4 linked regions of the Caenorhabditis elegans genome follow. The protein of the gene in region 1 purifies or fractionates together with the protein of each later gene. This does not show direct contact. Each region holds a gene or a part of one and is shown in the gene's direction. Other genes may lie near its edges. The genes, in order: hpl-1, W02H5.8, R09E10.1 and hmg-11.

Region 1 (6,683 bases):
AAGCAACAAAACTCACCATTATCAATAAAGCGACGACAGATGTAAACAGAAGAAACTGATGATTTGACTTCGGAAAAGCTAAAATGATTCGAAAACTGAATTTCGGCGACAGATTGACTTCACGCTGACCTCACGTTGTGTGAATATTTCGAGTTTTATAAAAAATTAATTTAATTTGTTTTTTCCATGCTTTTTTCAGATTTTTTTCAAAATGGTCCGTCCGGTCTGCAAGCTTGAAGGCAGACAAAACTTTGTCTATATTTCCTGAAAATTGATGTCTGAAACTCGGATCTAGGTCAATTATATAATTTTTTATAGGATTGAGCTACATTGGTGTAACTTTGGATCTGTGGGTAATCGAATATGAGCTTTCAGATTTTCAGATTTTCACTTGATTATATAGGTCACGACCCAAGTTATTTTGAAAATTGAGCTACACGGCTGTAACTTTGGAGCTATGGGTAATCAAGTATGAGCTTTCAGATTTTCACATTTTCACTTGACAATATAGGTCACGACCCAAATTATTTTGAAAATTGAGCTACACGGCTGGAACTTTGGAACTATGGGTAATCAAGTATGAGCTTTCAGATTTTCAGATTTTCACTTGACAATATAGGTCACGACCCAAATTATTTTGAAAGGTGAGCTACACGGCTGTAACTTTGGAGCTATGGGTAATCGAATATGAGCTTTCCGATTTTCAGATTTTTACTTGATTTTATAGGTCACGACCCAAATTATTTTGAAAGGTGAGCTACACGGCTGTAACTTTGGAACTATGGGTAATCAAGTATGAGCTTTCAGATTTTCACATTTTCACTTGATTATATAGGTCATGACCCAAATTATTTTGAAAATTGAGCTACACGGCTGTAACTTTGGAACTATGGGTAATCAAGTATGAGCTTTCAGATTTTCACATTTTCACTTGACAATATAGGTCACGACCCAAATTATTTTGAAAGGTGAGCTACACGGCTGTAACTTTGGAGCTATGGGTAATCAAGTATGAGCTTTCAGATTTTCACATTTTCACTTGACAATATAGGTCACGACCCAAATTATTTTGAAAGGTGAGCTACACGGCTGTAACTTTGGAGCTGTGGGTGATCGAGTATGAGCTTTCAGATTTTCACGTTTTCATTCAATTATATAGGTCACGACCCAAATTATTTAGAAAATTGAGCTACACGGCTGTAACTTTGGAGCCATGGGTAATCAAGTATGAGCTTTCAGATTTTCAGATTTTTACTTGATTCTATAGGTCACGACCCAAATTATTTTGAAAATTGAGCTACACGGCTGTAACTTTGGAGCTATGGGTAATCGAATATGAGCTTTCCGATTTTCACATTCTTACTTTATTATATAGGTCACGACCCAAATTATTTTGAGAATTAAGCTATATGGATTTAACTTTGAAGCTATGGGTAATCAAGTATGAGCTTTCAGATTTTCACATTCTTACTTTATTATATAGGTCACGACCCAAATTATTTTGAAAATTGAGCTACACGGCTGTAACTTTGGAACTATGGGTAATCATGTATGAGCTTTCAGATTTTCACATTTTCACTTGACAATATAGGTCACGACCCAAATTATTTTGAAAGGTGAGCTACACGGCTGTAACTTTGGAACTATGGGTAATCAAGTATGAGCTTTCAGATTTTCACATTTTCACTTGACAATATAGGTCACGACCCAAATTATTTTGAAAGGTGAGCTACACGGCTGTAACTTTGGAGCCATGGGTAATCAAGTATGAGCTTTCAGATTTTCAGATTTTTACTTGATTTTATAGGTCACGACCCAAATTATTTTGAAAATTGAGCTACACGGCTGTAACTTTGGAGCTATGGGTAATCGAATATGAGCTTTCCGATTTTCACATTCTTACTTTATTATATAGGTCACGACCCAAATTATTTTGAGAATTAAGCTATATGGATTTAACTTTGAAGCTATGGGTAATCAAGTATGAGCTTTCAGATTTTCAGATTTTCACTTGATTATATAGGTCATGACCCAAATTATTTTGAGAATTAAGCTATATGGATTTAACTTTGAAGCTATGGGTAATTGAGTATGAGCTTTCAGATTTTCAGATTTTCACTTGATTATATAGGTCATGACCCAAATTATTTTGAGAATTAAGCTATATGGATTTAACTTTGAAGCTATGGGTAATTGAGTACGAGCTTTCAGATTTTCACGTTTTCATTCAATTATATAGGTCACGACCCAAATTATTTTGCATCTTGAGCCGTATGGGTCTATCTTTGAAGTTAAGGGTAATTGAATTTGACTTTTCACATTTTCACACTTTCACGGTAATAAATAGGCCACGAATTAATTTAGCTTGTAAATCAAGCTATAAGTCTTCAACTTTGGGGATACGGCTCATTAAGTGTGAGCTATCAGATTTTCACGTTTTCAAGTGGTTAAATATGTCAGTAACTTATTTATGTATTTTGGAACATGGGCTAAAGGTTTGTAATTTTCGAAACAAGGGCAATCGCAGATGAGCTTCCAGATTCTCACGTTTTTTTAGATGATTTTTTTCTTCTCAAACCCCTCTCTTCTCAAAGTTTGTATCCATATGTTTCTTAATGAAACATTTTATCTACAAATGTTCGCAGTTTATGATCGTTGTTGTATTGATTGTTGTATGATTTCCAGGAAAATTGCACGAAAGTCAATTCAAATGTTACTTTTTAGCCTGTTTCATTAAGAATCTGCGCACAATTAAAAAAAGTGACTGTGAAAACTTCAGATGGTCTGGTTTTTTTTGAAATAATAGAAAAATATAGAAGAAAATCAACTTTGAGTTTCAAATACAAATTATTTTAGAAAATGGAACAGTGACCGTGAAAGAGTGCAAATTCGACTTCCGGCATCTCTTTAAATACAAGAGAGGCTAAGCAAGATGAAATAAAAAAATTTGTTTTTGTCGACAGTGGCCGCCGACATAGGTTTGCACCTTTTCACGGTCACTCTTCCATTTTCAAATCGAAAGACTTGTTGAAAACCCGGGCCTATGTCTCCCGCTTTTTTCCGTGCGCTGTACGCGTTTAGTCTGCAGTGCGGCACACTCTCTCACTCTCGTCTCCTCTTGTTTTTTTTCCACTATCGATTTTTGGTTTCAGGTGGTTTTTCGCCAAAATGTCACGTCAAAACCCTGTCCGAAGCACTCGCGGGAATTCACTCAGAGCTCGGGAAGCTCAGCAGGCACAAGATGCTCCGTTGTTTCAGGAAGTGAGTTTTTTTTAAATTTAAAATCGAGAAAAAATTGAAGGATCGGCAATATTAATGTGAAAAATATATTTCTAGTCCTCCAGCAACGTCTTCGTGGTGGAAAAAGTGTTGAATAAACGGTTGACGCGTGGCGGAAGCGAGTACTATATAAAATGGCAGGTTCGTACATTTTCGTCCTTAAAATGTTATTTGAACAATAATTTGTGCTTCAGGGATTCCCAGAGTCCGAGTGCAGTTGGGAGCCAATTGAGAACCTCCAGTGCGATAGGATGATTCAGGAATACGAGAAGGAAGCGGCAAAGGTGAGATTTTTCAAATTTATTGAGATGAAAATACATAGTAACAAAATTGCAGCGCACAACACGCAAACGTCGATATTCCCCACAACCGTCGACTTCGTCTTCTGCAGAGCTCCAACCATCTACCAGCGATGAATGGGCTGGGAAAACACTGAAGACAATTATTGGAATCACCAAGGCACCCGGAGAACTGCATTTCTTGTGCAAGTTCAGCGACGACTCTGTGCATTTGATTCCATTGAGAGAAGCCAATGTTCGGTAAATATTATCGTTTATAAAAATTTTAGTTTTTCCCTCTAAAATTAGCGACAAAAAATAATTCGGATTTGAAAGAGTCTGAAAAAGATTTAGAATGTTACAAAATTGAAAAATATGGTGAAAGTCGAAAGCTTAATATTCCTGCAAGCCTGGATTTTTCATGTTTATTAAATTTTTGTTTTTTTCTGGTATTTGACAGAAAATAAACAGGGCAATACTATAAGTTTAAAGCAAATCAAAAAATCTAAAAATGCTCACAATCGACTCTTTAACGTACTGTTAAAGTATATAAATGCATCCTAAAATTCATGAAGCTCTGCGGAACGAGCAAATTCGGCCTTCAATACGTGCTAGCAGAACAGCCAAAAATAATAGGTTATTTTTATAAATGGAAAATATGAAACCTCGAATTTCATGATGTAGTTAACATCTAAGAAAGTGCTTCTCGTACACTTAAAAGGCATTAGAAAAACTTGCCTTGAACGTAGTGTGATACTGTAATAAGTTGAGTCAAGATAAAACATTTGTCACGGCAAAGTAACTCGCCCCAAAGAACCTAAGTTGGCGCTATTCACAAGTCGCAAGGGATTTCTTGCAATATTCAAAACTTTTTAAAATATCGCTACTGCAAAGTCATCAAAAATATTAGTTTTCAATAAAGTGTGATTTTCAGTTTTCCAAGTCAAGTCATCAAATTCTACGAAACCCGTCTTGTTCTTCAAGGAGTTTCGCCAACCATCCCAGGAGGAATGAGCTAATTTAATTTCAAAAATTATATCGCACCCTCTCCCCTTCCCATAATTTGATTGTTCTCTCAGTACGTTTCGTGAATTTTCTCGCTGAGATTTCGTTGATGAAGGACTTACTCTTTGTTCGCTTCCCATTTTTCTTAACAAATTTTTGAACTTTTTATATTAAATTTTTTCACATCATTTTGTTTTTTCCTTTAATAAATTATTTAAATATTTGCTTTAGAAACAATCCTTTACCAGATAAACGAAAACGCACATTCTTCTGATTTTATGTTACCGTATCAGAAAAGAAAGATGTAGTTTCTATCTTCTCATCACGTGCTGGGATGCAAAAATGTGACAGGTTGATACATTAATACCGAAATAGTCAATAATGACCACGCTACAACGTGTTTTACAACGAAAGTATTTCTTTAAGAATTTTGTTCAGTTTTTAACAACTCATAATTTTGCTTCTAAAACAAACCTTTCTGATAATCTGACGTTGTCTTGTAAATTGGCTAGTTGTCTGAAAGCGCAACATTTCCTGAAAAGTTTAAATTGTTTATTAGAACCGTTTGATCATATAATTATTAGAGCACATTAAAAATATAAACACAGTTCTTTGTCCGTTTGAAAAAAAAATTTTGTTTGAATTGACTTATCAGATTTTTCACATTTTTAAAAAACTGATTTTATGAAGCCTAAATTTTGCAAACCTGTTTTTGTCAGAACAGTTCATTTTTGTTTTATGAAGGTTTTTATGAAAGCTCATCCTTAATTATTCGTATGATGAATATTTAAATTGTATTTTCAATTGACGTGATTGATTTTACTCGATTTCATTTGACAAACATTTAAAGAAAAACTTTATTTCGTACCACGAATGTCATAAAATTTGGTTCCTACAAATAGTTATCAACATCACTGCGAAAAACGTGAGCCGTGTTGCTGTATCAATACTTTTAACCACTGGCAAGAAAGAGACCTGGTCACCTGAAACATATTGAACTGTAGTCTTTGCTACTTCTTATCAGAAATGTTGCGTTTTAAAACCCACTGCATTGACATAAAATGCCGGTCGGTGTGAAATTCGAAGGAGTTATTCGAACCAAGTTAAACCCCTGAAATAATGATGTTTCGTCATCATTTCTTACTTCAAGTCTCACTTTGGTTTTCACTCTTCGCTGCCATTAAAGTAATTTTTTTAAATTTTTTATTAATATTTATTGTATTTTTCCAATTATCAATGTTGTGTTACATTATTTTTGCAAGCAAAAACTAAGAAATCCGAATCACCCAATCTAATTTTGTATTTCTTTTGCTAAGTTGCATTTTAATTAGAAATAAATTTATCATAACTCACCACAAAAGCCCCTTGCACAATGTCACATGGCTCTGACTGATTCCCGACTCCAGCTGTGATTGTTTTATTCTCCAATCTAGACCACCAATTCCACTTCGAAGAGCAATTTTCTCTATTCAAACCTAACAGCATACTATGCTCTTGCTGTAATATGTGACTTATTTAAATTCACCGTTAACTTGAGACACTCACCGTGCGAATTCCGTATTGTATGTAAGAACCCAAAAGATCGACATTCGATAATACTGCCATTTGACAGGAAGATGCTAGAGAACAAGTATCTATTTATCGACGTAGATAATCTTTTGTACAAAGTCAGTTCAAGGACAAGAATCAATGAACACGGAGTTTTTTTCAAACAATTTTCATGCAATAAAACCATTCCCTGATTTATATACATTTACTTCTGGGATTAATTTCTTGAACCAAATAGAAAAATTTGACATATAAGCTAGACTCAGAAATCAAACGTCAAGCTGAAAAATCTAAAAGTTCAAGAGCTCAACGTTTCTAATCTCATTTTTCACAATTACAAATTTTTAGTTACTTCCCCCTAATCCAATTTTCAAGTTTCAACACTCACGATGCAGCTTGCTAAACAAAAGTTCGCATCTTTCTGGGATTGTGTAGTTCCCCGAAGTATCCTGAACTCCCGCGTACATAGAGCACAACTGGTCAGCATAAAAGGTATTGACTCCGTCAGTTTCTCCAAATTGTTTGCACACCTTAATCAGTGGCTTTTTGATTTTTTTTTTAAAGATTTGACCA
Region 2 (10,964 bases), on another chromosome or scaffold:
ACATGTATCAGGATCGTCAGTTTTTCGATTTATGTGCCGTAAAATATGTCACTTTGTAGAGAAAAGTTTGTTACACAGAAATCAGTCAAAATGTCTTATTTCGATTTGATCTACAAAAAATGCGGGAGAAGAGACGCTTGGTTAAGAGCGTGCTGACGTCACCACAAATTTTCTGGAAAAAATATTCCCCCGCATATTTTGTAGATCAAACTGAAATGAGACGCGAAAAATCACCACAATTATAAATTTTGCCTAGAAATGCTGTAATAAAGCTGGACTGGACATCTCCTGAGATTCTAGATTTAATTTTGGAAGAAAAAAAAGTACAAACTGCGTCAAAACGACTAGAAGACTTCTGAGGGAACGCGCGCGTGGGTGTGTATTGCCGGAATTGAAATTACCGGCAAATCGGCAAAGTGCAAAAATTGAAAAATTTCCGGCAAATAGGAAAATTGCCGGAGTTGAAAATTTCGGGCAAATCGGCAGATTGCCGGAGTTGAAATTTCCGGCAAATTGCCAATTTGGCGAACATGAACATTTCCGGCAAATCGGAAAATTTGCCAAAAATTAAAATTTCCGGCAAATCGGCTCATCGGAAATCACCGAAAATTGAAATTTCCGGCAAATTGAGAAACCGGCAAATTGCCGAAAATGAAAATTTCCGGCAAATCGGCAAATTTGCCAAAAATTAAAATTTCCGGCAAATCGGCAAGTTGTCGGATTTGAAAATTTCCGGCAAATTGGCAAATTGTCGGAATTGAAAATTTCCGGCAAATCGGCAAATTGTCGGAATTGAAAATTTCCGGCAAATTGGCAAATTGCCGAAAATGAAAATTTCCGGTAAATCGGAAAATTGCAGAAATTGAAAAATTTCCGGCAAATCGGCAATTTGGCGAACATGAAAATTTCCGGCAAATTGGCAATTTGCCAAAAAATAAAATTTCCGGCAAACCGGCAAATTGTCGGAATTGAAAATTTCCGGCAAATTGGCAAATTGCCGAAAATGAAAATTTCCGGCAAACCGGCAAATTGTCGGAATTAAAAATAAATTTATTTACCGATTCTGCCGACGGTCGTGCCCGGCTCCTGTCTGCCAAAAACTTTTTTTTTCAGATCCCTCGGCTCTGAGCTCTTTTTTCTCGTTTTTTCGAAAATGTCATCGTCGAGAACAATAATGCTGTCGTCCTGGGAGCCCGTGGGTCTAAAACTATTTTTTTCGGCGGTTTCTACAATAGTTCAGAGCATTTTAAGATGTACCTTTCATCCAAAACGACCTCTTCCACTTTTTTCGTCCGTGTCAGGTGTTGGTTTTTTGCCACTTTAAATAAATTAAATTGATTTTTTTTGCGGTTTTTATTGATTTTCAAGCTTTTTCGCGAATTTCGCAGTTTTTATTGATTTTTTATTTTAATTTTGCTTTAAAACGCATATTCTTCACTGTATATATCGTAATTTCACAGAATTATTCAGATATCGGGTCTCGGCGCGCAAAATTTTTTTTGGTAGCCGTTTTTCTTGCATTTTTCATTGAAATTACTTATATTTTAGCGAATTTCTTGTTGAAAATTGTTTTAAAAATCAGTTTCAGAGTACAAAAAAAAACACACACAAAAAAAGCGAGTGGGCGGCAGTTTGCCGGTTTGCCGGAAATTTCCTTTTTGGCAATTTGCCGATTTGCCAAAAATTTTCAATTCCCGCAACATGCCGATTTGCCGGAAAAAATCGGTTGCCGCCCACACCTGATTTGTACTTTGAAACTGACATGAGTTAAAACAATCTTAACGGAAAAATGCAAAGAAAACGACGAAAATCCCAAAGTATTTTCGTTGAAAAATGCAAGGGAGATACTACACTTTTTTTTTGCGCGCCGGGACCCGTCTCAATAAATTCATGCGCCTTTAAAAAGGCGTGTTGAAATTTTGTGAAATTACGACATATATGCGTTTGCAAACGAATTAAAATGAAAAATGAAAAATCAACAAAAACTATTACAGGAACACTAAATTCTGAGAATTCTGCGTATTGCACAACATATTTGACGCGGGCAAATATCTCGTACCGAAAACTACAGCAACCCTTTAATTGACTACTGTAGCGCCGCTGGTGTCGATTTACGGAAATAATGTATACACCGATAAAATATTGTAAAATACGAAAAAAATCGAGATCCCGTAAATCGACACCAGCGCGCTACAGTAGTCATTCAACGGGTTACTGTAGTTTTCGCTACGAGATATTTTGCGCGTCAAATGTGTTGTGTAATACGCAAAATTCTCAGAATTTTGTGTTCCCGTAATATGCGAAAGCCAATGTTATTTCAGCAGATCCTCCGTTGTCTGTGTGAAACTCACACCAACTAGCACAAAAATTCGACGACGTTGTCGGCTGCTGCTGCTGCTGATCTACGGATGATGGTGCATGTAGGGATGGTGGTGATGATGATGATCCGGGCGTCGCTTCATCATCGCCGAGACGAATAGTTTTGATGGGTTTCGGTGGCGGTCTGTACATCGGAGCCGGAAGCTGCTGCTAGAAATATCGAAAATGCGCTCAGATGCTTTAACCACGTGTGGTGTCAGACTGTCCCATTTCGGTTTGATCTACGTTGATCTACAGAAAACGCGGGAGTTACGTCGCATTTTGCCGGAGCGAAAAATTCCCGCATTTTTTGTAGGTCAAACTGAACAGCCAGACACCACGTGTGTGGTTAACCACTAACATTCGCGGCATCATCATCCGCCAAAAATTTGTTCCACGTGTATTGCGATGATCTTCTGTGGCCGTGGCCGCGGCCGCTAGCGGCGCCACGTTTGAAAACTCTTCCATTACCACCTGCACCACCACGCGTGCTCCGCTGGTCCGTAGGTCGTTTGGATTTTGGCCGCGGCTGGCGTGGCATGCCTGCAAAAATTCTCAATGTCTGCACACACACACTTCTGGCTTCCCTCTTCTTAATTGAAAAGGAAGAGTTTGCCGAATTAGGCCATATTGGCTCGGGGTAGATTTACGGCGCGTTGCGTGTCGCGTCGCGGCTTGTAAAACTAAACGTATTTGTCCGTGTGGAGTACACGACACTTTCCCACGCGTTGTCCGGCGGGCGATTGTAAATGGAGCGCGCAAGAAGTTCAATGAGGATGGCCAGAAGCCCGTGTTTCTGTACTTTGAACAGTGGTCATTTTTGTTGTCAAATTGCCAAAAATTGATCAATGAACACAAAAAAATCCTATCTTATCAACACAATCACCCCACGTCGTGTTTTCTCCGTGACCATATTGTCATATTTTTTTAAAAATTTCTTATTTTCCCATCCTAATTCATTTTCAGTTGGGCTAATAAAAATGTCGAAGAAATTTGTGAACAAAGCGGAGGAAGCTGTCGACGATGCGCTTTTTGGACTGGTTTCATCGAATTCGAATGTCAAATTTCATAAGGTTAGTATTACCGGGAACAGAGAATTCTGAGAATGCTGCGTATTGCACAACATATTTGACGCGCAAAATTTCTCCTAGCGAATACCACAGTAACCCTTTAAATGACTAGCGCTTGTGTCGATTTACGGGCTTTAATCAGTTTCGAAAATCGAAATCCCGTAAATCGACAACAGCTCGCTACAGTAGTCTTTTAAAGAGTTACTGTAGTTTCCGCTACGAGACGTTTTGCGCGTCAAATATGTTGTGCAATACGCATTCTCAGAGATTCTGTGTTCTCATGATATTGAATATTACCCATATGCAAAACTTTGCGATTTTTGATAGAAAGAGTACTGTACTTGCAAACTCGTTGCGGAATTTTGCCTTTTTTTTCGGTTTTTCAAGAGCCAATTTTTGGTATCCGTTCTCTCGACACGACAAGTTTTTGATTTTTGTTAAATACAAAAAGGTGTGCGCCTTTAAAGATTACTGTAATTTCAAACTTTTGCAGCAGCGGAATTTTTTTTATTGATTTTTCATTTTTGCATATATTTATATCAAAGAACCGTGAAAAATCGACAAAAATTTCGCAGCTACACAAGTTTAAAACTACAGTAAGCATTAAAGGCGCACACATTTGGGTATTCATCACAAATCAAAAACTTGTCGTGTCGAGACCGGTCACCGTACTTCTGCACGTGGTGCTAGGCTGTCTCACTACAGTTTGATCTACAAAAATGCGGGAATTTTTTTTGGCTCAAAAAAATGTGACGTCAACACGTTCCTAGCCATTCGAAATCAGTTGAGAACTCTGTCGCATTTTTTGTAGAATTATGTAGATCAAACCTAAATGAGACACTCTGCAACCACGTGCAACGCGAGTTTAAAACTACAGTAATCTTTAAAGGCGCATAGCCTTTTTGTATTTATCACTAATCAAGAAGATGTCGCGTCGAGACCGGTCACCGTAATTTTGGCACAAAAATCTCCCAATTCCAAGATAATAACAAGCCCCGGCACATTTCAGAGCTGCCGACGAGTTGTTCACATCACCGATCTCAACCCCTCGCACCACGTTTCCCTGATAGCTGGAGGTGGTTCAGGACACGAACCGTATGCTGCCGGATATGTTGGAAAAGGTCTTCTGACCGCTGCAATTGCCGGAAACGTGTTCGCTTCCCCGCCGTCGAGGAACGTTCAGGCGGCATTGGAGGCCACTAGAGGAGAAGGTACGGTTTGATCTACAAAAATCGCGGGGGAATTTTTTGCCCAAAAAATGTGACGTCATCACGTTCTTAACCAAGAAAAATCAGTTGAAAACTCTGCCGCATTTTTTGTAGATCTACGTAGATCAAACCGAATTTTTTTGCAGCCGGTGCCATCTTGTTCGTCATTAACTACACCGGAGACCGTCTGAACTTTGGTTTGGCGGCTGAGCGATTCAACGCATCAGGTGGCACAGCTCGAGTCGTCACGATCGCCGATGACGTGGCAATTGACAGCCCGAATAGCAAAGTTGGACGTAGAGGTCTGGCGGGTGCAGTTTTAACAATTAAAATTGCTGGAGCCATGGCCTGGGAAGGAAAATCGCTGGATGAGATCTACGAGACATCTCAAAAAGTTGTGAGCTCAATGGGTACACTCGGCGTGTCACTTTATACGGGAAGCTTGCCGGGCAAAAATCGAGAGACCGAGTTGCCGGACGATCAGATTGAAGTAGGACTGGGAATTCACGGTGAGCCGGGCAAATTTCGTGCTCAATTTGGCAGTGCCAATCGAATTGTGCACAGCTTGTTGGACACACTACGCTCGAAGATGGAAATGCGGGAAGGCGAGAAGTTTGTGGTTCTTGTCAACAATTTGGGTAGTGTTTCGCAGTTGGAGATGAACATCGTGAATGGAGAGGTTTTGAGATATTTTGGTGAGGAATAGGGAATAGCTTAAAATCGGTGTGATCTACAAAAAATGCGGGAATTTTTCGCCCAGAAAATTGTGACGTCATCACGCAATTTTTTTGTTAACAAACGATTATTTCCGGCAAATCGGCAAATTGCCGGAATTGAAAATTTACTGCAAATCGGCAAACCGGCAATTTGCCGCATCGCCGGAAATTTAAAAAAATTTTTTCTGGAAATTTCAAAATTTTTTATTCGGCAAAAATGATAAAATTGCCGGAATTGAAAATTTACGGCAAATCGGCAAATTGTAGTTTTGCACATTTTTCTGGAAATTTCAAAATTTTTGATTTTAATCGGCAAAATGAGTAAAATTGCCGGAATTAAAAATTTCAGGCAAATTGTGGTTTTGCACATTTTTTTCTAGAAATTTCCGAATTTAAATTTTAATCGGCAAAATTGGTAAAATTGTCGGAATTAAAAATTTCCGGCAAATCGGCAAATTGGCAGAATCGAAAATTTCCGGCAAATCAGCAAATTGTCGGAATAGAAAATTTCCGGAAATCGGCAAACCGACAATTTGCCGCATCGCCGGAAATTAAAAAAAATTTTTTCTGGAAATTTCAAAATTTTTTATTCGGCAAAAATGATAAAATTGCCGGAATTGAAAATTTACGGCAAATCGGCAAATTGTAGTTTTGCACATTTTTCTGGAAATTTCAAAATTTTTGATTTTAATCGGCAAAATGAGTAAAATTGCCGGAATTAAAAATTTCAGGCAAATTGTGGTTTTGCACATTTTTTTCTAGAAATTTCCGAATTTAAATTTTAATCGGCAAAATTGGTAAAATTGTCGGAATTAAAAATTTCCGGCAAATCGGCAAATTGGCAGAATCGAAAATTTCCGGCAAATCAGCAAATTGTCGGAATAGAAAATTTCCGGAAATCGGCAAACCGACAATTTGCCGCTTTGCCGAAAATTTTCGGCATAATGCGGTTTTGCACATTTTTTTGGAAATTTCAGAATTTCATTTTTAATCGGCAAAATTGGTAAAATTGCCGGAATTGAAATTTCCGGCAAATTGTAGTTTTGCACATTTTTTTTCTTGGAAATTTCAGAATTTCAAATTTTAATCGGCAAAATTGGTAAAATTGGCAGAACTGAAAATTTCCGGCAAATCGACAAATTGCCGGAATTGAAAATTCCTGGCAAATCGACAAATTGCCGGAATTGAAAATTTCTGGCAAATTCGAAAATTGCCGGAATATAAATTTCCGACAAATCGGCAAATTGGCGGAATTAAAAATTTCCGGAAATCGGCAAAATGCCGGAATCGAAATTTCCGGCAAATTGCGGGAATTGAAAAATTTCCGGAAATCGGCAAAATGCCGGAATCGAAATTTCCGGCAAATCGGCAATTTGCAGGGAATTTTCAAGTTAGGCAATTTGCCGGGAATTTTCAATTCAGGCAATTTGCCAATTTGCTGGAAAAAAAATCGTTTGCCGCCTACCCAAAACTTCCGAATTTCGGGAAAATCGAAAATTGTTTTTTTTCGACGACACCCACGCTGCTCCCGATCTTTGTAAAAAAAATCCAACTTTTTCAGAAGATCACAAAATTGGAATCACTCGATTCTTCAGCGGTATCTACATGACATCTTTAGACGGTCATGGCGTCAGTGTCACCATTCTGAGAGCCGATGACTCTATGCTACAGTACTTGGATGCTCCAGCGGCGGCGCCGGGATGGATTCCAGCACTTTCAGTACAAAAATGTGTAGATCATCAGGAAATTTCGGATTCGTCGTCCCAAGGCGACCTAATCTCAGAAATTCCAGCGTCTGGAGTAACTGTGAATGCCCAGCTCGTGGAAGCATGCGTCGGAGGAGTTGTGGATGCGATGCTGGAATCCGAGAAACATCTGAATCAACTCGACGCGTACGCCGGTGACGGAGACTGTGGGAGCACGTTTGCCGGAGCAGCTGAAGCGATTCGCAAGCAGACATCAGGCCTCAACTACACTCATCCGGAGACACTTCTCAAGCAGCTTTCCATCATTTTTGAGCAAACCGTCGGAGGAACCAGTGGAGCGCTGTACGCGTTGATGTTCAGCTCGGCGGCGCAGAGTTTCGCTCAAAGATCGCAAAGAGGAGAAAAGATCGATCGAACGTCGATTCTGGAGGCGTTGGACAAGGCGAATCGGGCGGTTCAAAAGTACGGAGGCGCGAGAGTCGGAGATCGGACGATGGTTGATGGATTGGATGCGATGGTCGAGGAGTTGAGAAAGGGATTCAGTGGGAATGAGGAATCGTTGGATGCGATCTTCGAGGCGGCGGTTAAGGTGGGTTGGGAAAATGTTTGAAATTCGGGGAAACCACAAAAAAAACGCGAAAGAATAACAAATCCAGCCCTTTCTGCAACATGAAACTCGCGACCAATCAGCGACTGGTCGAGCTCCGCCCATAGTGCCTGATTGGTTGAAAAGAAGACGGAGCAATGTGCTGATTGGTTGTAGTTAAGCATTTTGAAGGGAATTCAATTTTGGAAGAGTGCCCTCATGAATGCGAATTACGACCAATCAGCGCATCTCTCCGCCCACTTTTGAACCAATCAGCGTTCACATTGTGCTGATTGGTTGAAAAGGAGGCGGAGCGAAACGCACTGATTGGTCGTAGTTGAGCATTTTGGAGGGAATTCAAACAGGGAATTTAAGTTAGCCGAAAATCTTTAAAAATCTCGTTTTTAAAAGTTTGATTTTTCAACTTGGGCTGAGAACCTACCTACCAAAATGAAGCGTACGACCAATCAGCGATGCGCTCCGCCCACTTTTGGGCCAATCAGAGCTCTGATTGGTTCAAAAGTGGGCGGAGCAAATCGCTGATTGGTCGCAGTTCTGGTTTTGGGGGGAATTCACCAGAAATTTGTATTTTGCGATAATTTTGAATTTTAGCCTAATTAGGATGTAACGTCAATGAAAATTTCGCTTCAAAAAATCCAAAATAGTGTCGAATTCAGAAAAAAGCCACAAAAACGCAATTTTGGCTGAGTACGACCACCAATCAGCGATTCGCTCCGCCCCCTTTTCAACCAATCACATCTCTGATTGGCTGAAAAGTGGGCGGAGCGATGCGCTGATTGGTGGCAGTTCTCGTTTGGAGAAAATTCACCCAAAAATGAGAAAAAGTCCTTTTTTTTTTTTGAATTCGAAACTATTTTTGGATTTTTTGAAGCGATTTTATCAGCCAAAATTGAAAAATTACATTTTTTAAAGTTGGATTTTCCTTTTTTTTCGCGATTTTTTTCTGTGGAATTTTTGAGTTTTAGGCCTATTTTGAAAATTAATAATTTGCAGGCTTCCGAAAAAGCGGCGAAAGCGACTGCAAGCCAAACGGCAACCGTGGGCCGTGCCAGCTACACATCGTCAGAAGCCCAAACGAAGCCTGATGCAGGGGCCACGGCAATCTCACTCTGGCTTAGAGCTTGCTGGACGGCTTATAAAAGCGAAAAATGATCAGAGATCGAGAGAGAGAGATAGAGAAAAATGGATAATAAAACCATATACATAGTTTGAGCAAAAATTTAAAAATTTCGTGTCGAGAAATAAAAAATACTTTAAATAAAGATCATCGTATAAATAAATAAATAGACAAATGCACAATAAGAAGATACACATTTTAAAGGTGGTATAATCGATTTTTAATAAAAATTGCTTTATTAAACTCAAAATTGTCTGAAAACACCGAATTTCATAATGAAACTTTTTGAAAACTTCTCAAAAAACAGTTATGGCGACTCAAAAAATGGGCTAAAATTAGTTAAAATTTGAAATTTGACCGATTTTTCAGCGGCTGGAAATTAACTTTTTTGAAATCACCGTCAAATTTTGGGTGTATAAGTTAGTTAACTTGCGTTTTCAACTCGATTTAGGTACATTAAAGACCGATGGATTACCAGAAATAACCAAATTTTACAAAATCTGGATCGACCTTAACGGTGGAGATCAGGAAAATGAGCATTTTAAAGTAAAAAACTCATTTTCCTGATCTCCACCTTTAAAGTCGATTCAGATTTTGTAAAATTTGGTAACGCCTGGTGATCCGCCGACCTTAAATGTACCTAAATCAAGTTGAAAACGCAAGTTAATTAACTTACATACCCAAAACTAGATGGTGATTTCAAAAAAGTTAGTTTCCAGCCGCTGACAAGTTGGTCAAATTTCAAATTTTAGCTAAAAAAAAAACAAATTTTAGCCCATTTTTTGAGCCGCTATAACTTTTTACGAAATTAAACAAGTGATTATTTTTGAACTCGGGGCGTCGGAGAGCTCAGCTTCTTGTTAATGGCACGAAAGAAGACAGGCTGAGGGCGATTCTCGCCGCCGCCGCCGCCGCCTGAAGCCAACGGGCTCTGCGGTGGGTGAGTATCGTGAAGCAGCGGAGCATTGGGGCGCGGAGATTGAGCAGATCGATTTGGAGTAGAAGGATCCGCTGATGATGGTCCGTCTTGGTAGTAGAGATCTGAGACGTTGACGTCGAGTGGCCGAAAACGAGTTGATGATCCATTTGAAGAGCCCGACATTGATTGAGTGGCTCCGCGCTGGAAAATTGGAATTTTTTTGTTATTCAGGTTATTAAGGAAAAATGGCCAAATTTTCCGATTTTTGGAAATTCGGAAAATTTCAAATTTTCGGGTTTGCCGAAATTTCACTAAAATTCGATTTTTCGATGTTCCGAAAGATCAAAAATTGTCGTTTTTCGTAAAAATGGGACATTTTTTTGAACAAAATTGATTTTAAAAAAAAATTTTTTTGTTAATTTTCTGTACATTTTTTTGGTTTTTTTTTTAATTTTTCGGTTTCCGAGAAAATCAAAAAAATTTTTTTCTACCGAAGTTCTGAAAAAATTCGAAAAACAGCTTAAAATGCTGCGTATTTCTCATGTAAGAGATAATAGAATTTTTTAAACATTTTTTTTCGATTATTTTTTGTATACTTCTTCGTTTTTGTTTTTCCGATTTTTCGTTTTTCCGGAAAATCTTATAAAAAAATTTCAAAAAAAAAAATCAATTCTTCGGTAATAGCTTAAAATGCAGGTTTTTTTTTCCAATTTTTGTTTTTAGGAGAAATTTGAATTTTGTTTTCAGATTTTCGGAAAAATGCAAAATTTTTCGTTTTTATTTTTTTAAGAAATAAAAAACTTTTTTTTTGAATTTTTTTTTTTTGGAATTTATATGTTTTATAAAGTTTTTAATTAAAAAAAACTTTTTTTTTTTGATTTTTCGAGCGGCCGAAGACCAAAAAAGTTTTCTTATTCGATTTTCGGAAAAATGAAAAAAAAAATCGATTTTTCGGAAAAAAAGCCTAAAATTTTTCGATTTTCCGATTTTCACAAAAATTAACAAAAATTAAAAAATAAAATCGATATTTGAAAATATTAAAATTTGTCGTTGTTCTCTGAAAAAAAGAAGTTTTTTCTCAGTTTTCCTCGATTAGAAATTGGTAAGAAATTTTGGCAATTTGCCGGTTTTCCGGAAATTTTCATTTTCGCCAATTTGCCGATTTGCCGAAAATTTTCAATTCCGGCAAGTTTTTCTCGAAAAAATTTTAAAAAAAATCGAATTTTTTTGCCAATTTTCCTCGAGTAGAATCGTGGTGAGACC
Region 3 (8,497 bases), on another chromosome or scaffold:
TGAAAAAATGAATTTTGTTTTAAAAAGTTGTATGCCTTGCATCAGTTTTAGTTTAAATGAAACAAACACATTTGTAACTTGATATTTGTTAATTGTTAAATTCCTAGTTGTTTCTATGTCAAAGTTTAAAACTCCTAGTACTTAATGACGTTAGCTGAAAAAAAACCAGAGATAAAAAAAAAAAAAAGTTGAAATTCTTCCTAGAATTTTGAACGAGGTTGAGATTCTAGAATTTATAACAGAATTGATTAGATTGTTTAAATGAAAGTGGAAGTTTTGTTTCAGTGAGAAAACCGCGTAAAGATGAACTTATTTTATTGTCACTTGGATTGCTGGATAGTTGTGAGAATCTAGAAAATATTTCCAAATTACCCAAATGAACAATAAAGAAATTACAAAGAAGCCTAATTAAAGAAAAAAATAGCGTTTGTAATAATTGCACAATGACCCCAAATTACTAAATTTTATAAAGAGTTTCTATTTTCTGAATGAAAGCGTGTTTTTAAAACTCTGGCAAGTCATGAAACTTGCGAAAAAGTGATCTAATGTAAGAATCGGTGCAGCATATCCGTATTCTGCCAAGAAAATTCAGAGTTCGGTTTCACAATTTTCTAAAATTTATCTAAAGTAACAAATCACAGGTTAGTGTCACTTGGAATAAACTTTTAAAAAAATTCCCTTATATTCTTTATTTTGTACTGCATAATCAACATAATTTGAAACAGTTTTTTTTTCTGGAACTTATTTTTCTAGTTTTTGGTCAAAAATCTGTGGAAAACAACATATCATTGTCTCGTATTACATACAATTTTTACCTTTCACTCTTTATTTTTCAGAAACGGAGAAGCTCATACCCGTCAGTCACAAGAATCACGTGTGTGGTCAAAGAAACAAGGCCGTTGGGTGTGTGTTCATGTACATCGATCAACACAACCATCAACAAATACAACAGTATCTGAATTCTAGAAGAACCTTCTTTATGCCTATTTTTCTCTTCGTTTCCTAACATCATCTACGTCATCATCATCTCTCTAGGCAATATTTTCCCCGATATTTTCTTTTGAGCCATTTCAATTCAGTTTTGATGACCAAAAAAAACAATTATGTTTCGTTTTTCATAGCATTATCTGCTTTTTTCTTGTTCTCTTTCTTGTCCCATTCTCTCAGATATATGGTTTTTGGGTGACCCATCTTTTTTCTCCTTTTATAGTCTCACAAAAAAGTGTCGTCGGTTTTTTTTTCAATTTTTTATTTCAAAAAAAGCTTCTCTTGTTTTCTCTCCCCTGTTCTTTCCTCGTTTACTCTGAACAAATCTGAATAGCATTTTCGATTAAAACAATATATCTCTCTTTTTCTAATTTATTTGTGAATCACCCCTCTTCCCTCCAATAAATTAACCTTCCCCATTCACTTCCCCTTCTTAAAATCTGTTAGTTTCCCCCACCATCATTTTTATCTATGATATTTCCATTTGCACAAGGCCCACAATTTGTATTTTATTGGAACGCCCCCACCTTCCCTCCCGTCTCGAGATCACTCGTTTTCTATTTTTTTTTTGCTCTCAACTTATACAACCTCTCGTTGTTTTGTCAATTCAGTATGTGTTTCGTCTGGATCCGAAAAAAAATGAATGTATTATTTGTCATTTCGATCGATATGATGACAAATGCAACAAAAAAATCTTAAAATAAATTGGCTGGAATACAATGTAAAGTTACTACATACCTACTTTTAAATGAAAACGACAGAAAAATAACAAATTAAAAAAATTATCGGTGCAAAATTTTACTGTTTCATGTATATTATAAGAATTTTCAAAATTTAAATAAAAACGGGCTAATTGTGAGTTCAAACGGATCCATTATTTCCACAAAGCATTATTTTGATAGTTATTTTCAATTGTGGATTTTGAGAATAGGATTTAGAAATTGGAAAATCAACAGTTCAGGTACAAAATTGAGGAATTAAAAGAAATTTATGTAAGTACAATGACAAAATCTACACCGTTTTATGAAGAACATGAAACAAGTCATATTTTACTTTAAAACTACTGTGTATTTTTCTTTGTCAGCAGGCACTGAACACGTAATCTATGTCCAGAAAAAATTGAAGGTTTATGAAAAAATTTTACATATGATTCCGGATAACCTAACAATTGCTCACATTATGCAGCACAGGCAAAGCGGAAAGTGCCCAAAACGGTCCGTTCACGGACCGGGAACGGCTCAAATTTAAGAACAGTTCACGGTTCGATTCCCGGTCCGTCAACGGACCGTAATTGAACCGTAAGGAGACTAAAAAATGGGAAAATTTTTTCACCCTCCAGCTGCCCCTTTTTCTTTCCCAATGCTCCACCGAGCTCCGGTCTTGCTCCAGACCGTCTTCCGGTGATCCTTCGTTGTAGCAATTCTATCTGCCTCAGCCGGGGTTGAACTTGTCCACTGCCTGTCGATTGATTACTGGCCCATCACCTTACCGTTTGGCCGTTCGCGCACGCGAGGAAAATCAATAGACTTCGCATAAATAGCAATCAGCTCGCGCTCGCGCATTTTCTTCTGGTTTTCACGTCTTACACCAACTTTTTCGATTGTATTTTCAGTAGTTTCTGATTCTCCATCTTGCCGTTGGACTTATATGAAAGCGAACGATAACAATTGACAGTTTCGTGTAGTTCAGAACTTATTTCGCATATTTCTCAACATCTACCTATACGTGCTCCATCTACTTGTAATACAGAAATGGTACTTACATATTTCCTCTATTAGTCTTGCATGCAAGACTAATTTTCGATTGGACCGGGTTGCAATACTAATAGACGAAATAAGGTATATGCGTTCTACTTGAATGATACCTTAATTTCTTAAAATACACACGGAACAGAAACGATATGATTCCAGAATGTATTGTTAGTAAAATATTTCATGATATTTCAAAAAATGCTCCTGTTGCTCAGCTGAAGAAGACCAGCAGAGAGAGTGAACGTTGCGTATACACAGTATCTACCCAATTGTGGCATTTCATCTTTTTTATTGATATGTTTATAGGATTACATTAATATAACCTCTTTTACACACAATGTCATGCTTAATAGCCTCAGTTAGATCGCATGCGATTACGGGCCGTGTACGGACCAGTTGGACGGATGATAGACAAAATGGTTGCCCAGAGGAATTTTTTTTCATGAAAATGGAGTTTTTGAAGTGCCTACACTCTCCTTTGGCTAATTTGAGCACTTTTTCCATGCTAGAACCTGAAATTTTCAAAAACAAAAATTTGGTGCCCGGGACGGTTCATTTACGGTCCGTCTACGGGCCGGCGACGGACCGTCTACGGACCGGAAACGGCCCAACTACGGCTCAAGAGCCATCTCGGTCGGTAAATGTGGTTTTTTCTCTAAATAATGCATTTAACGACGTAAAAATGCTTGAATTAGCCAACTGGTATCATAGGTATTAAAAAAAATTCGTTTTCTTAAAATCCATTTTTTCCTCTTAATGACCATTTTTTACATTCCCCGTAGTTTGCCCGTAATTGGTCCGTCCCGCTTTTCATATCCGTAGTTCGCCCGTTAATGGTCCGTTCCCGGTCCAAGATCCGTAAACGGACCGTACCCGCTTTGCCTGTGGCAGAGTGAGTGCAAGACTGAAGTGGTAATTATGAAGATTGATATTGAAACTGGAGAGCACACAGGCTTGGAGCCATTTTTGAGAGAATTCTTTGTTGTTGCCAGTTAAGCCCATTTTATTGAAATGTTTTTTTTTAAGTAACTATAAACCTACTTTTAGGCAAAACGACAGAAAAACGAATTTCAAAAAAAACTTCGAATTAAAATTTTACTGTTTCATGTATATTATCAGAGTTTTCAAAATTTGAAATTAAAATTAAAACTGTTCTATCTTCCTTTAAACACGATTTCAATTGAAAAAAGTCAAGCTTGTTCGCCTGCCTCGCGCCTTCGTTCGCGCCTTCGGGTCTATTTTTTACTGAGAAAAAAACAGATTTTACTGAGAAAAAACAGTTATACTTTTCAGTTCATGTCGAAAAAGGGAATGAAGTTTCTTTCTCGTTTAGAGAAGGAGATCGCCGCCAATCGAAGAACTTGAACTTTTTTAGTAATTCTTTTTTTATAAAATGAATGTTTGGTTGGAATAATGAACTCAGAGAATATCAAATTTCAGTTTCATAAATTGAACTTACTACAAATTAATCTTTGGCATTTGAGAGTAATCATCCGCCATTGACTGATTTCTTTGATTCGAATCTTCTATTTCGGTTCTTATACTTTTCAAGAGTTATATTCAAGTACTTTGTTGTCGTTTTGAAAGTCATAGACCACATTTTAACACTAAAACTACAATTATCAAATATACAATCTCGATAATTTTTTTTTGTATTTTTCTAGTCCAAATAGAGCTTTTTACGTAGACAGAAATACAAATAACAATGTGTGGAACTAAAAGCAATGTGGATGCAATACTAATAGGTACATCACCGTAGTTTTCAAACAAGACAGAAATCGCTTTAAAAAATTGGAGGCCGTTATATTTTACATTTATTGTCTATTATCAAAAATCTTTCCAAGAAAAAGACAGAAGAATAAAGCAATGATTTTCAAAAGTAACACCTTTGGGTGTTTACAGCAAAGTGGGCCACCTGGCACTTGACTACATGAAGAAAGTTGTAATTTGATTTGTTTTCTTACATTTCTGAATTACTATTTGCATTAAATAATTCTTGAATAATTTATGAACGTGTTGTTCCGGATAATGATATATATCCTCTTTTACGTTCATAGACGAAATTCAATTTATTGCTAACAAATTAGAAATCGATATTCAGATTTCCTGGAGTCAGGTAAGCTAAACACAGGGTTTTTAAAGGAAAATGGTCATGTTTTCTAGAACACAAATGACAAGTCCTGATGAGCACTCACCGGAGAAGAAAGATTCAGAAAACGAAGTGGTGCCGGCGGGGCCAAAACAAAAGGCAAAGTGTCTTGAGAAGGAAACCAAATCTCCGCCGAAACCATCAGATTTATCGAAAGCTGAAAGAAAGGAAAAGAATAATAAGACTGCAAGAAGAGATGTGAAGAGTTCTCGAGGAAATGTGAAAACCATGAAGCCATCTGTTGTTAAAGTAGAAGAACGATCGTCTCGATCAAAGAAAAGTATTCGCGAAGGAAAGCTGAAAAACTTCTCCCTTCCGTATGTATTTTACTCGACACTTTTAGATGTTTGTTGGAAAGGAAGCCGTCTTTCTGGCATGTGCTAAATTATATAAATATTATGAAATGAATTCCACTGGCACAAGTTTATGACGTGGTAGAAAATTGGGTATCCTTGCAATTTTTTGAATACTCTATCATTCTAGTTCATTAAAACAACTGGATCACTGATTTTTCAATCCATAGTATGGATTGAAAAAAAAAGGATTCCATACATGAGAGTCCACGCGTTGCCAAAATTACAAAATAACAGTAAATTGAATGTTTTATTTTAAAAATGAAATATTTTACGAATTAAAAAATCACGTTTTTAGTTTTGATCTCACTGTATTAGTTTTGGACAAGCAAGGCGGGGTCAGAATTTACTTTAATACAAAAAATTTCAGGAAAGACGAACCCGAGATTACTGCTCTGCAACTTGACGCCGAACTTACAAAGAGTGCTCGTTTGATGGAAGAATACAAGGTTTGAATGCAAATTTACTTTCACTCTATTTTCTAACTTTTGGTTTTTACAACAAAATTATTCCAAAGAAACTCATAAAACCTTGCTAAATTTCAGATTGCCCTTGAGCAAATCATCACAACACTCGTAAGTATGATGAGACGTGGAAACGGGACGGTTGACATGGAAGTAATATACATTCTACTTGAATTATTTCGCTCAACCACACGTATTTTAGAACATTGTAAGCGACAAAGGACAAACGGCAGCGGAGAAGCTGAACAAGGAAGTACAGTTGACTCAAAACTATTGGAAAACGGACACAAAGTTGCAACCAGCAATGAACGATGCAATTGCAAAAAATACTGTCGTTCTGGCAGCAGCTGAGAGAAATTTGCAGACTCAAGGGCCCCAACATCTCAAAAGAGTCAAGAAGTTTCTTTACGGTCAATATCCGAAGGTTTGTTATCAGGAATCAATATTCAAAGCTCTAGTTTCTTCAGAAGTTTTTCATAAATGTAACCATAAAGTTTCACCTTTCAGTATGTGGATATGAAGAGAGACCTGCTGAAAATTGTCAAACAGCAGAAGCCCGAAGCCCAAAGTGTTCGCGATGAAAGTGCTCAAGCGATTTCGAAGTTCATCAAGGAAAAGTATGTGAATGCCAAAATATATGCATCTCGGAGAAATTCAAAGTGCTTTCGGCGAGTTGAGCGTTAGTTTGTTTGATTTTAAATATTATATTTAAACACAAATTATCATTTCAGTTTTTCCATCGTACATCCGCTTTTACTTGGCATCAAATCGCTGAACGACAACCTCCAAAGTCTTCATATCACGCCGAGAACTTCGACTTTCAACAGTTCTTCACAGCACCTCCAAAAATGTAAACTGTGACGTCACCAATAATTTTTTATGATGATTTATGATAATAAAGTGAGAGACGGAGAGAAATTTGTGTGTATTCAGAAGGAAAAAACATAAGTAAATACAGGAAAGAAGAAAAAAAGAATATATATTCGATTTTTTTAACGATATCATTGAATTTCTGATTTTTCAATTTTCAAAGGAACATTGGATAGAACAAACTATATGATATCTGGAAGACCAAAATGTGACATCATATTAAAAGTAATGAAATAGGCGGTAGGCACATAGGCAGGCAGGCGTGCAGTAGGATCACGAAAAAAATACAGAAAATCGGCGACATGCATGAAGGCAGGCATGTTGGCATTCGGCAAGTACGAATGGTAAATAAAATACTGAAAACACGATGTAGGAATGAAAGCCTAAAAGTGCCTGGATATAATTGAAGCCTCTTTGAAGTTCAGTAAATATACGTTACCTGTAGAATTCAACATTTTGGCCAAGAATTAGTTTAAATTAATATTGGATAGGGCTGCTTAGGCAGCAACCTCACAGCCCCGTAGTAGCACAGTATTAATAACATCCCGTGTCAATTTTCATAAAACTGAATATAAATTGGGTTGATGTTGCTAAAGGGCTGCGAAAAACTGAACTGGGATGAAGCTGGGCTGCAAAGGGCTGCGATGGGTTGCGACGGAAAATAGCTACAGTGCTAAAAGGGGGCTGATCCCAGCCCCTCAGGACAAAGCTCATACCCTTCGCCCTTCGCAGTACAGCTTCAGCCCATTTCAGCCCTTTACAGCCCTTTAGCAACATCAACCCAATTTATATTCAGTTTTATGAAAATTGGCACGAGATGTTATTAATACTGTGCTACTACGGGGCTGCGGGAGCTGCTGCCTAATCAGCCCTAATATTGGATCAAAAATCTGCATTAATATTTAAAAAAAATTCTGTGAAAAAAAAACAAACAAACATTTTAGTATCGATCACGTCAAACAAATGAAAAAATAAGTTCATGAAAAAAACAAACTCCAAAACAGAAATGAAAACATGTTTTTAGAAAAAAAAAACTCTGAACAATTATGTATATAAGGGAATCAAAATATATCAGTTTTCATCGCAATCGACTAATCAACTGACACCAACACATCCTGCTTAATCGACATCTATCATGTCCAGGAATAACACTCAAATGCACATCACAAGCTCTCAATTAGAAGACGGATTTCCATCGATTACCAACAATTTTCTGACAGTGACAGTGAACTTCAACTACGATCCATCGAATCCTTCTGAGCCACCAACAAAAGTCCTGGAGAAGATGAGTGATCTGATTGGCCAACAGATTGTAATGTTTCTGAATTGTATTGTTAAAACTTATATTCTTTATTCAGGCGAATCTTCAAAAGGGAAAGGCACCAAAGGCAAACGACGACAAGAGCAAAGGTTCCATGCCTACCGTTGAATTCTCTCGGACCCAGTCCATGACTACTCAACAAAGTTTGGAGGACGATGATACTCAACGAGAAAATGTTCCTCTTGAAAAGAAAAAGAAGGGGAAATACAGTTCGGAGTACGCTAATCTTTTGGTGGAAAAGCCAACTCGTTACCGTTTGGTTCCATCGAAAAATGTGAAAGTAGTTCCAGAAGATGAGCTCCCGAAGAAAAAGTTTGACAAGGATCGGAAGAGAAGAGAGTACGTGGAAATTGGAAAACTGTATTCTAAAGAACCAATTATTGATGAAAGTGAAGTTTTGAAAAAGGAGAAAGGGAATACAAAGAGAAGAAGCAAGGAGACAGACCGTGCACCTTAATAACTTAACTAGAACTAACATTATTGATTAACTTGAATAAATAATTTTACATGAAACATTTTTCAACTTTAGTCTATTACAAAAAATCTTGCCAAAAAATATATTAGGATTTACGACATTATGGCCACGTGTGAGGTTAAAAAAA
Region 4 (5,836 bases), on another chromosome or scaffold:
AGAGAAGTGGTACCAAGTCGCGTGGAGCATGAGTGAACTGATCTTTCCCGTCTGAAAATTAAAAAATAAAATACACTGTTCAGAAAGATAAGCTGTCTTCTTACTTCCGGCCATAAAAGCATCCTTCTGCTGAATTACCACTAGTGAATTGTTCTCCCGCTTCCAACTCAAAGATCCATTATCCATCAGATAGAACAAAGTGTACACCCAGCTTTCCAAGTCATCCTTTCGTCCCTGATCCTTGGATCCTTGGCAAGCTCTGTTCGCGAAGCGTCCACAACCGTACATCTTAACATTCGTTCTTGCAGTCACATGTTTCTTGTTTTCTTCGAACTTCCTAGCTTGACGGAAATCCTGCAAGAACAGAGTTGGCTCGTCCATTCCTAGCCCACAATGAAACGATGCTGGACTAATGTTTCGGTGAATGTAGCCAATCGAATGCAGATTCTGAATTGCTCTGAGCATCTGGAGACCAACGACGAATGAGCAGTCCATTGAAAGTTGTCCCATCGTGGCCTTTTTCATTATTTCATTCAACGTGGCACCGTATGGAGAAACGATCAGAAACTCCACTTTGTCCTTCACAATACTGCCATACTCTATCATTGATATGAAACATTTGTCACCAGGAATCTTCTCAAGACGTCGGAGAAGAGCTGCTTCAGTCTGAAATTGAAAATAAAATGTACATCCTTCCTGTTCTTCCAAAACTTCTCACCTTCAAAATCTGTGGATCCTTTCTCGCCACCTTCATTCTATAATCGTCTCCCGATTCCGTATCCTTCACCAAATAAACGTCGTAGTCCAGAAGCTTCGAACTTTTCCGCAGTTGCGATGTCACCTTGTACTGGTTAACTCCTTCCACAATCTCCCCACTCGCGAAGCACTTCATTGGTGAAGGTTTCTTGCGAGCACGACCCGAGTTATCCTTCTTCTTGTTTTTTCCACTCAGTGGACCTTTCGAATTTAACGAACTGACTCTACTTTTAGATTTACTCGATCTAAGATCACCGCCTGTGGTCTGAAAAATTTAGGTTTAATTGTGGATAGCACAAATTTTAGATTTTACAACACGGCTAAGCCAGTTTCAAGAATCATATCTTTAAGGCATTAAGGCAGGCAGAACCTAAGGCTTCCATGCAGACACCGAAAAGTTTGCCGTGGCCACCTGGAGGCGACCTTCGCCTGCCTCACATCGCGACTCCTGCATCTTGTATAGTGTCACGATGAATCCAAAGTGTCAGACGTAAGAATCTTTGGTGCAAACACGAAGCATTTGATTGCATGTCACAATTGAGGCGAAGAGGGCGACGTGAGGTGGGCACGTTTCAGGCAGGCTCTGAAGCCACGCTTGCCGCTCGTGGAAGCCCTAGACAGAACCAAAAGTATCGAATGTCTCTTTTCACGTTAACCATTCTGACTCTCCAAACAAAAAAGTACAAATTTACGATAAAAACCGCATAACAAGCAACTCGAAATCTTTATTAAAACAGATGCGCCAACATTCTCCAAACTTACATTCGGCTTCTTCCCTCGAAAAGACAAAAATCCGCCGTTCGGTTTTGAGCCAGGCTTCCTTTTCTGTGTTGATTGCATTGTTGAGAGTTTTGATTGTTTTGCCGTCTCATCCGCTGTACCCATTTTGAAGTGCAATTTTGCCCCAACTCTCGTTCAGATGGTATGATCGCCAAATTGAAAAATAAATTTGAAACTGGCCGAGGTGGGAGGATTCCCGTGATTTGTTTTTTTTTGTTCTTCCACGGACAAATTTTTGGGGAAAGGTCGGGTCTTGTTGTCACGTAGAAAAGTTGTGAATTTAATTTTTTTGTAATTGGAAAATTTTTGAATATTATTTTCTCACATGTTATTTTTTGTATTTTTATTTGAGCATTATACAAGAATTTCCCAGTTACAAAAAAAATTTACCTAATTTCAAAAATTGTTGAAATTGGTTAAAAGTTTTTAAATTTAAAAAATTCTATGGATAGTTCCAGAATAACTGTTTTTTAAGGTAGAGTAGCAAAATTTGTGCTCAAATTTAAAACAAAAACGTACAGTATCGGCCAAAACTCTTCTCGTTTTCAGTTTTTTTATGTGATTGTGCTTGAGTTGTTCAAACACGCATAACTGAAAAACTATGATATTAGCAAAATATTTTCAACTAAGAAAATGTTGCCAATTACTTGTTTTACATGTTTCCTAGTATCAAAATTATAAAACTTCATTTCAAAGAATTTTACAGCAGCTGACATCAGGTGGGTCTATTTTTTATAGTGACCCACATCTAGGGATTTTTTTGAAGCAAAGTTAATCCACAGATTTTTCTACATCGTCCAATTTATTTCTCTGTCACAACCAGGAACATTTATACTTAACATTAAACAAACATAACGTCAGAATCAAGTGTCTCGTTTTTTCCAGTTTTCCCATGATGCCTATAACCTTTCTTAGGATCTCACTGGCATGTTGCCAAGACGCAGCTGTTTGAATGTTAAAAACGATACAATCTGCCTATTTATTTTCCATGCACACATCGTCACGACATTAGAACATCTGTTTGTCCATTGTTTCCAAATTATGTATCGATTTAATTTCTAATCCCTCCTCCAAGGGCCCCACACACATTCTCGCTCTAATAATTGCTTACTCATTTTTTTTTTGCAGTGTGACACATTCTCCCCTCTTTACTCCTCTTCGCTCTTTCCCATGTTCGAGGTCAGCACGCTCGTTTGGTGTCCCAAACGCCTGCGTCTCTCGCACGCGACCGAGTTTTGAATTTAATTCTAAACCGCAGCGCGACCGCGTCGCTCTAACGAACGGATCTCTCCGTATCTAGTTCAGGGAGTTTTTCTGACATTTGCTTGTTTGTCTCACACCAGTTTCATACGATATTTGAATTGGTCTCTGGATTTTTTTGAAAATTTTTTTCTTTTACTTTTTTATTTTTTGCTTTGTATTTATATTATAAAAATGTATAAATTTTCAGAATGAGTGGAGAAGTTGGATCCAACGAATGCCTTGTTTCTACCAATGAAGTTCAAGAAGATTCTCCAGCTGTGACCGAGTCATCAAGTACGTTTTTTTTTGCCTTTTAAATTGTAGTATTATTCAAGATAATTTCAGTTTTTAGAATCCAATAAATCTGACTAATTCATTAAAAATTATCTTTTTCAGGCGCCAACGGATCTTCACCAGTTCGTCGCGGACGCGGACGTCCACCAAAGGGAACCAAGGTCCCAAAAGTCAAGCCGGCTCCAAAGCCGTATTCTGGAGCACCACGTGGCCGCCCACGCAAGTCTGACCAAGTTGCCAAGTCTCCAGTTGCCAAGTCGCCAGTTGCTTCATCGTCCGCCGATGCTTCTCCAAAGCGTTCTCGTGGAGCACCAAAGAGCTACGCTGAGGATGTTGCTGCAACGAAGCCAGCCAAGACTGATGTCGCCACACCGGCTCTTGCTGCTTTGACTGGAGAGAAGAAGGGACGTGGACGCCCAAAGAAGAATTAGATCCAAGGATCTTCATTAACGGTCTCCTCTTCGTCTCATTTTAAGATACTCCGACCTTTTCACTTTTAATTTCCTGAGCCATTATTTATGTATTTATGATTTTTGAACGTCAAGTGAGTGTGAAAATAAATAAAATTAAATTTTCAATGCAATTCGATCTCAAAGACCTCTTATCAACCAAAATGATTTCGAGCAAGTCAAAATGAGCAGCTTCAAGTGGTGTCAGGCTGTCCCATCGCCCCACTGCACACAAACAGCGGGAAATAGTTCTTCAACTTTTGTGACGTCACAGCGCAATTTTGAATATGTATTCTCCCGCCTTTCGTGTGCAGTGGAGCGATGTGACAGTCTGACACCACGTGAACGGAGGAATACGGTGCCCCGATTCGAAACGAATAAAATTTTGTAGCTACCGTAAGGTTATATATTTTTTCTATTTTTTGGTGGGGTTTGCCAGGCGTAAAGACAAATCAACTAATTATTTTCACTCGAATTTGGAACTAACAATTTATGTAGATTTTCCAAATTTTGAAAGCTTCCATAACCACCGAGTGCAAGCAGAAACAGTGTATTTTCAGTCATACCTTTTATGAAACATTTTGAGATTGAATGGAACTGACCATTATATATATTTCTGCGTTTTTTTGAAATTTTCATTTTTCGGTGAGGTTTGCCGGGTATAAAAACTAATCAACTAATTATTATCACTTGAATTTCAGAAATTATCAAAAACTTAATGGGTGTGTCCATCAGCAAATTTCATAATCTCTTTTGTAGCCGAACTTATGTTATCAGTTCTTCCGTACTTTCCCGATGCCATTATTTAAACTAATCAGTCGCTGATAGTTTGCTAGTTTACTCAATTTGTGAAATGCACTTTTCCTTCATTTTCCTGGTACTGGTGTACCTGACATTTGCCTTTGGTGACTCTTTGATCTGTAACAACGGATTTACTGTAGTAAACTCTAACAAGTGCTTGAAGCTGTTTAGCTCAGCGGTGAAGCACCGGACAGCTGAAGCCAACTGCGCATCTTATGGAGGAACTCTAGTGAATATTAGAAATTCTATTGTGAGTTGATTTACTAAAATCATACTTTTTTTGTGACCAAATTAAAAAAAATCTCTCGATATCCAGGATAACCGAGCAGTCACCCAGTTTGTTGGAAATATTGGCTTGAGCTTCTGGATTGGTGTCTACTGCCTGGAATCCAATAATCCATCTTCTTGCTATTTTGATGATGACCTAGGAACTGATACCGCTTTCAACAATTTTGCAAAAGGATTTCCAAATACCGATATTGGAGGATGTGTCTACAGTGCAACTAGTGGGTCTTTGGCTGGACAATGGATTAGTTCAGAGTGTGATAATGTGGAAATGGCATATGTTTGTGAAATTCCGATGACAAGAGCAGGTAATTGTGACTTCATAGTAAAAATTATTTTAAGCAACAATAAATTTGATTTAGTTTCGAAATTTTGATAAGACAGAAACGTGACTTCTTGGAAGAGTACAAGAGTTTATTGAGAACTTATTGGGCTTCAGGAGTTGATCACAAACTGTCAATTGTGCTCAAAAAGTGAGACCGACCCTTTTCTATATTTTAGTAACACTTTTAGTACCTGATTCCGATAAGGATATATCTAATTATGAAATGTGTTTCTAAGAAGACCCACATTTGGCCACGGACTTGTTCCAATCGGTCATCTTAAATTGTTTCTTCCTCCCCCACTATTCAATCGTTTGTTTTATATTTTGATTTTTGTCTGTAATTGATTGCTTTTTTTGAAATTTTGAATGGTTGAGAAGAAATAAACAAATATAATATAAAAAAGATAAACCACCTCTCTACTTCTCATTTAATCTTCCAGAATTTCAGATTCCTGCGCTCACAATTACAATGGCTACTGCTACATAATGTCTCATGAAAACTCGACATCTCCCATCCTTTCATTCAATGATGCCTACAAATCCTGTCAAGACAACTGTGCAAACCTGGTCTCTATTCACTCGAGAAGAGAGCTCAGCTACATTCAAGGAATCTACAGCCCATTCAATATATCGAGTGTTACAATTGGCGGTCTATCAACGGCTCCCATGGCTCCATATTGGTCTGATCTTAGCCACTGAGACTTTGCTCACATAAACCCTCGTACTGGAACCACTGGAAACTGCTTTCAAATGGCAGTTAAAACTGATTTAACTTGGTCAAAATCTGATTGTGCAGCGACTCAGTATTTCCTGTGTAAACGTCCAACTGGTATAACCTGTGGACCACCAACGCCAGCCCCTCCTGTGATTATCACACCAGCGCCAACGAATCCATCAGGATGTA

What was found.
Region 2: the proteins of hpl-1 (region 1) and W02H5.8 fractionate together in Caenorhabditis elegans (co-fractionation; one large-scale study listed by BioGRID). This does not show direct contact.
Region 3: the proteins of hpl-1 (region 1) and R09E10.1 fractionate together in Caenorhabditis elegans (co-fractionation; one large-scale study listed by BioGRID). This does not show direct contact.
Region 4: the proteins of hpl-1 (region 1) and hmg-11 purify together in Caenorhabditis elegans (affinity purification with mass spectrometry, with the first as the bait; one study listed by BioGRID). This does not show direct contact.

The regions. Positions count from the first base shown.
Region 1 is NC_003284.9:13,242,260-13,248,942, forward strand, and holds hpl-1 (Chromobox protein homolog hpl-1), read left to right. Parts: upstream 1-3,130; 5' UTR 3,131-3,168; coding exon 3,169-3,261; intron 3,262-3,336; coding exon 3,337-3,420; intron 3,421-3,473; coding exon 3,474-3,563; intron 3,564-3,615; coding exon 3,616-3,818; intron 3,819-4,491; coding exon 4,492-4,576; 3' UTR 4,577-4,785; downstream 4,786-6,683. Other genes in the region: K08H2.5 (Protein kinase domain-containing protein), read right to left, coding at 17-19; K08H2.7 (uncharacterized protein), read right to left, coding at 5,439-5,545, 5,610-5,673, 5,916-6,059, 6,108-6,167. UniProt on the Caenorhabditis elegans protein: Seems to be involved in transcriptional silencing in heterochromatin-like complexes. Involved in epigenetic repression. Probably does not act as global transcriptional repressor. Plays a role in linking epigenetic regulation with the innate immune response.
Region 2 is NC_003283.11:2,645,018-2,655,981, reverse strand, and holds W02H5.8 (Triokinase/FMN cyclase), read left to right. Parts: upstream 1-3,324; 5' UTR 3,325-3,338; coding exon 3,339-3,431; intron 3,432-4,437; coding exon 4,438-4,639; intron 4,640-4,782; coding exon 4,783-5,331; intron 5,332-6,913; coding exon 6,914-7,647; intron 7,648-8,658; coding exon 8,659-8,817; 3' UTR 8,818-8,927; downstream 8,928-10,964. Other genes in the region: angl-1 (Endonuclease/exonuclease/phosphatase domain-containing protein), read right to left, coding at 1,059-1,201, 1,258-1,318, 2,352-2,529, 2,720-2,899; W02H5.2 (SOCS box domain-containing protein), read right to left, coding at 9,603-9,902, 10,964-10,964.
Region 3 is NC_003282.8:10,317,465-10,325,961, reverse strand, and holds R09E10.1 (LEDGF domain-containing protein), read left to right. Parts: upstream 1-3,211; 5' UTR 3,212-4,908; coding exon 4,909-5,204; intron 5,205-5,610; coding exon 5,611-5,689; intron 5,690-5,785; coding exon 5,786-5,857; intron 5,858-5,906; coding exon 5,907-6,128; intron 6,129-6,211; coding exon 6,212-6,383; intron 6,384-6,435; coding exon 6,436-6,479; 3' UTR 6,480-6,623; downstream 6,624-8,497. Other genes in the region: unc-43 (Calcium/calmodulin-dependent protein kinase type II), read left to right, coding at 837-966; R09E10.2 (Reverse transcriptase domain-containing protein), read left to right, coding at 7,710-7,886, 7,933-8,352.
Region 4 is NC_003280.10:4,670,099-4,675,934, forward strand, and holds hmg-11 (HMG), read left to right. Parts: upstream 1-2,986; 5' UTR 2,987-2,987; coding exon 2,988-3,072; exon of another isoform or gene 3,073-3,174; coding exon 3,175-3,503; 3' UTR 3,504-3,648; downstream 3,649-5,836. Other genes in the region: T05A7.6 (Protein kinase domain-containing protein), read right to left, coding at 1-51, 105-666, 719-1,021, 1,519-1,641; clec-140 (C-type lectin domain-containing protein), read left to right, coding at 4,375-4,572, 4,639-4,915, 5,381-5,631; T05A7.3 (CUB domain-containing protein), read left to right, coding at 5,683-5,836.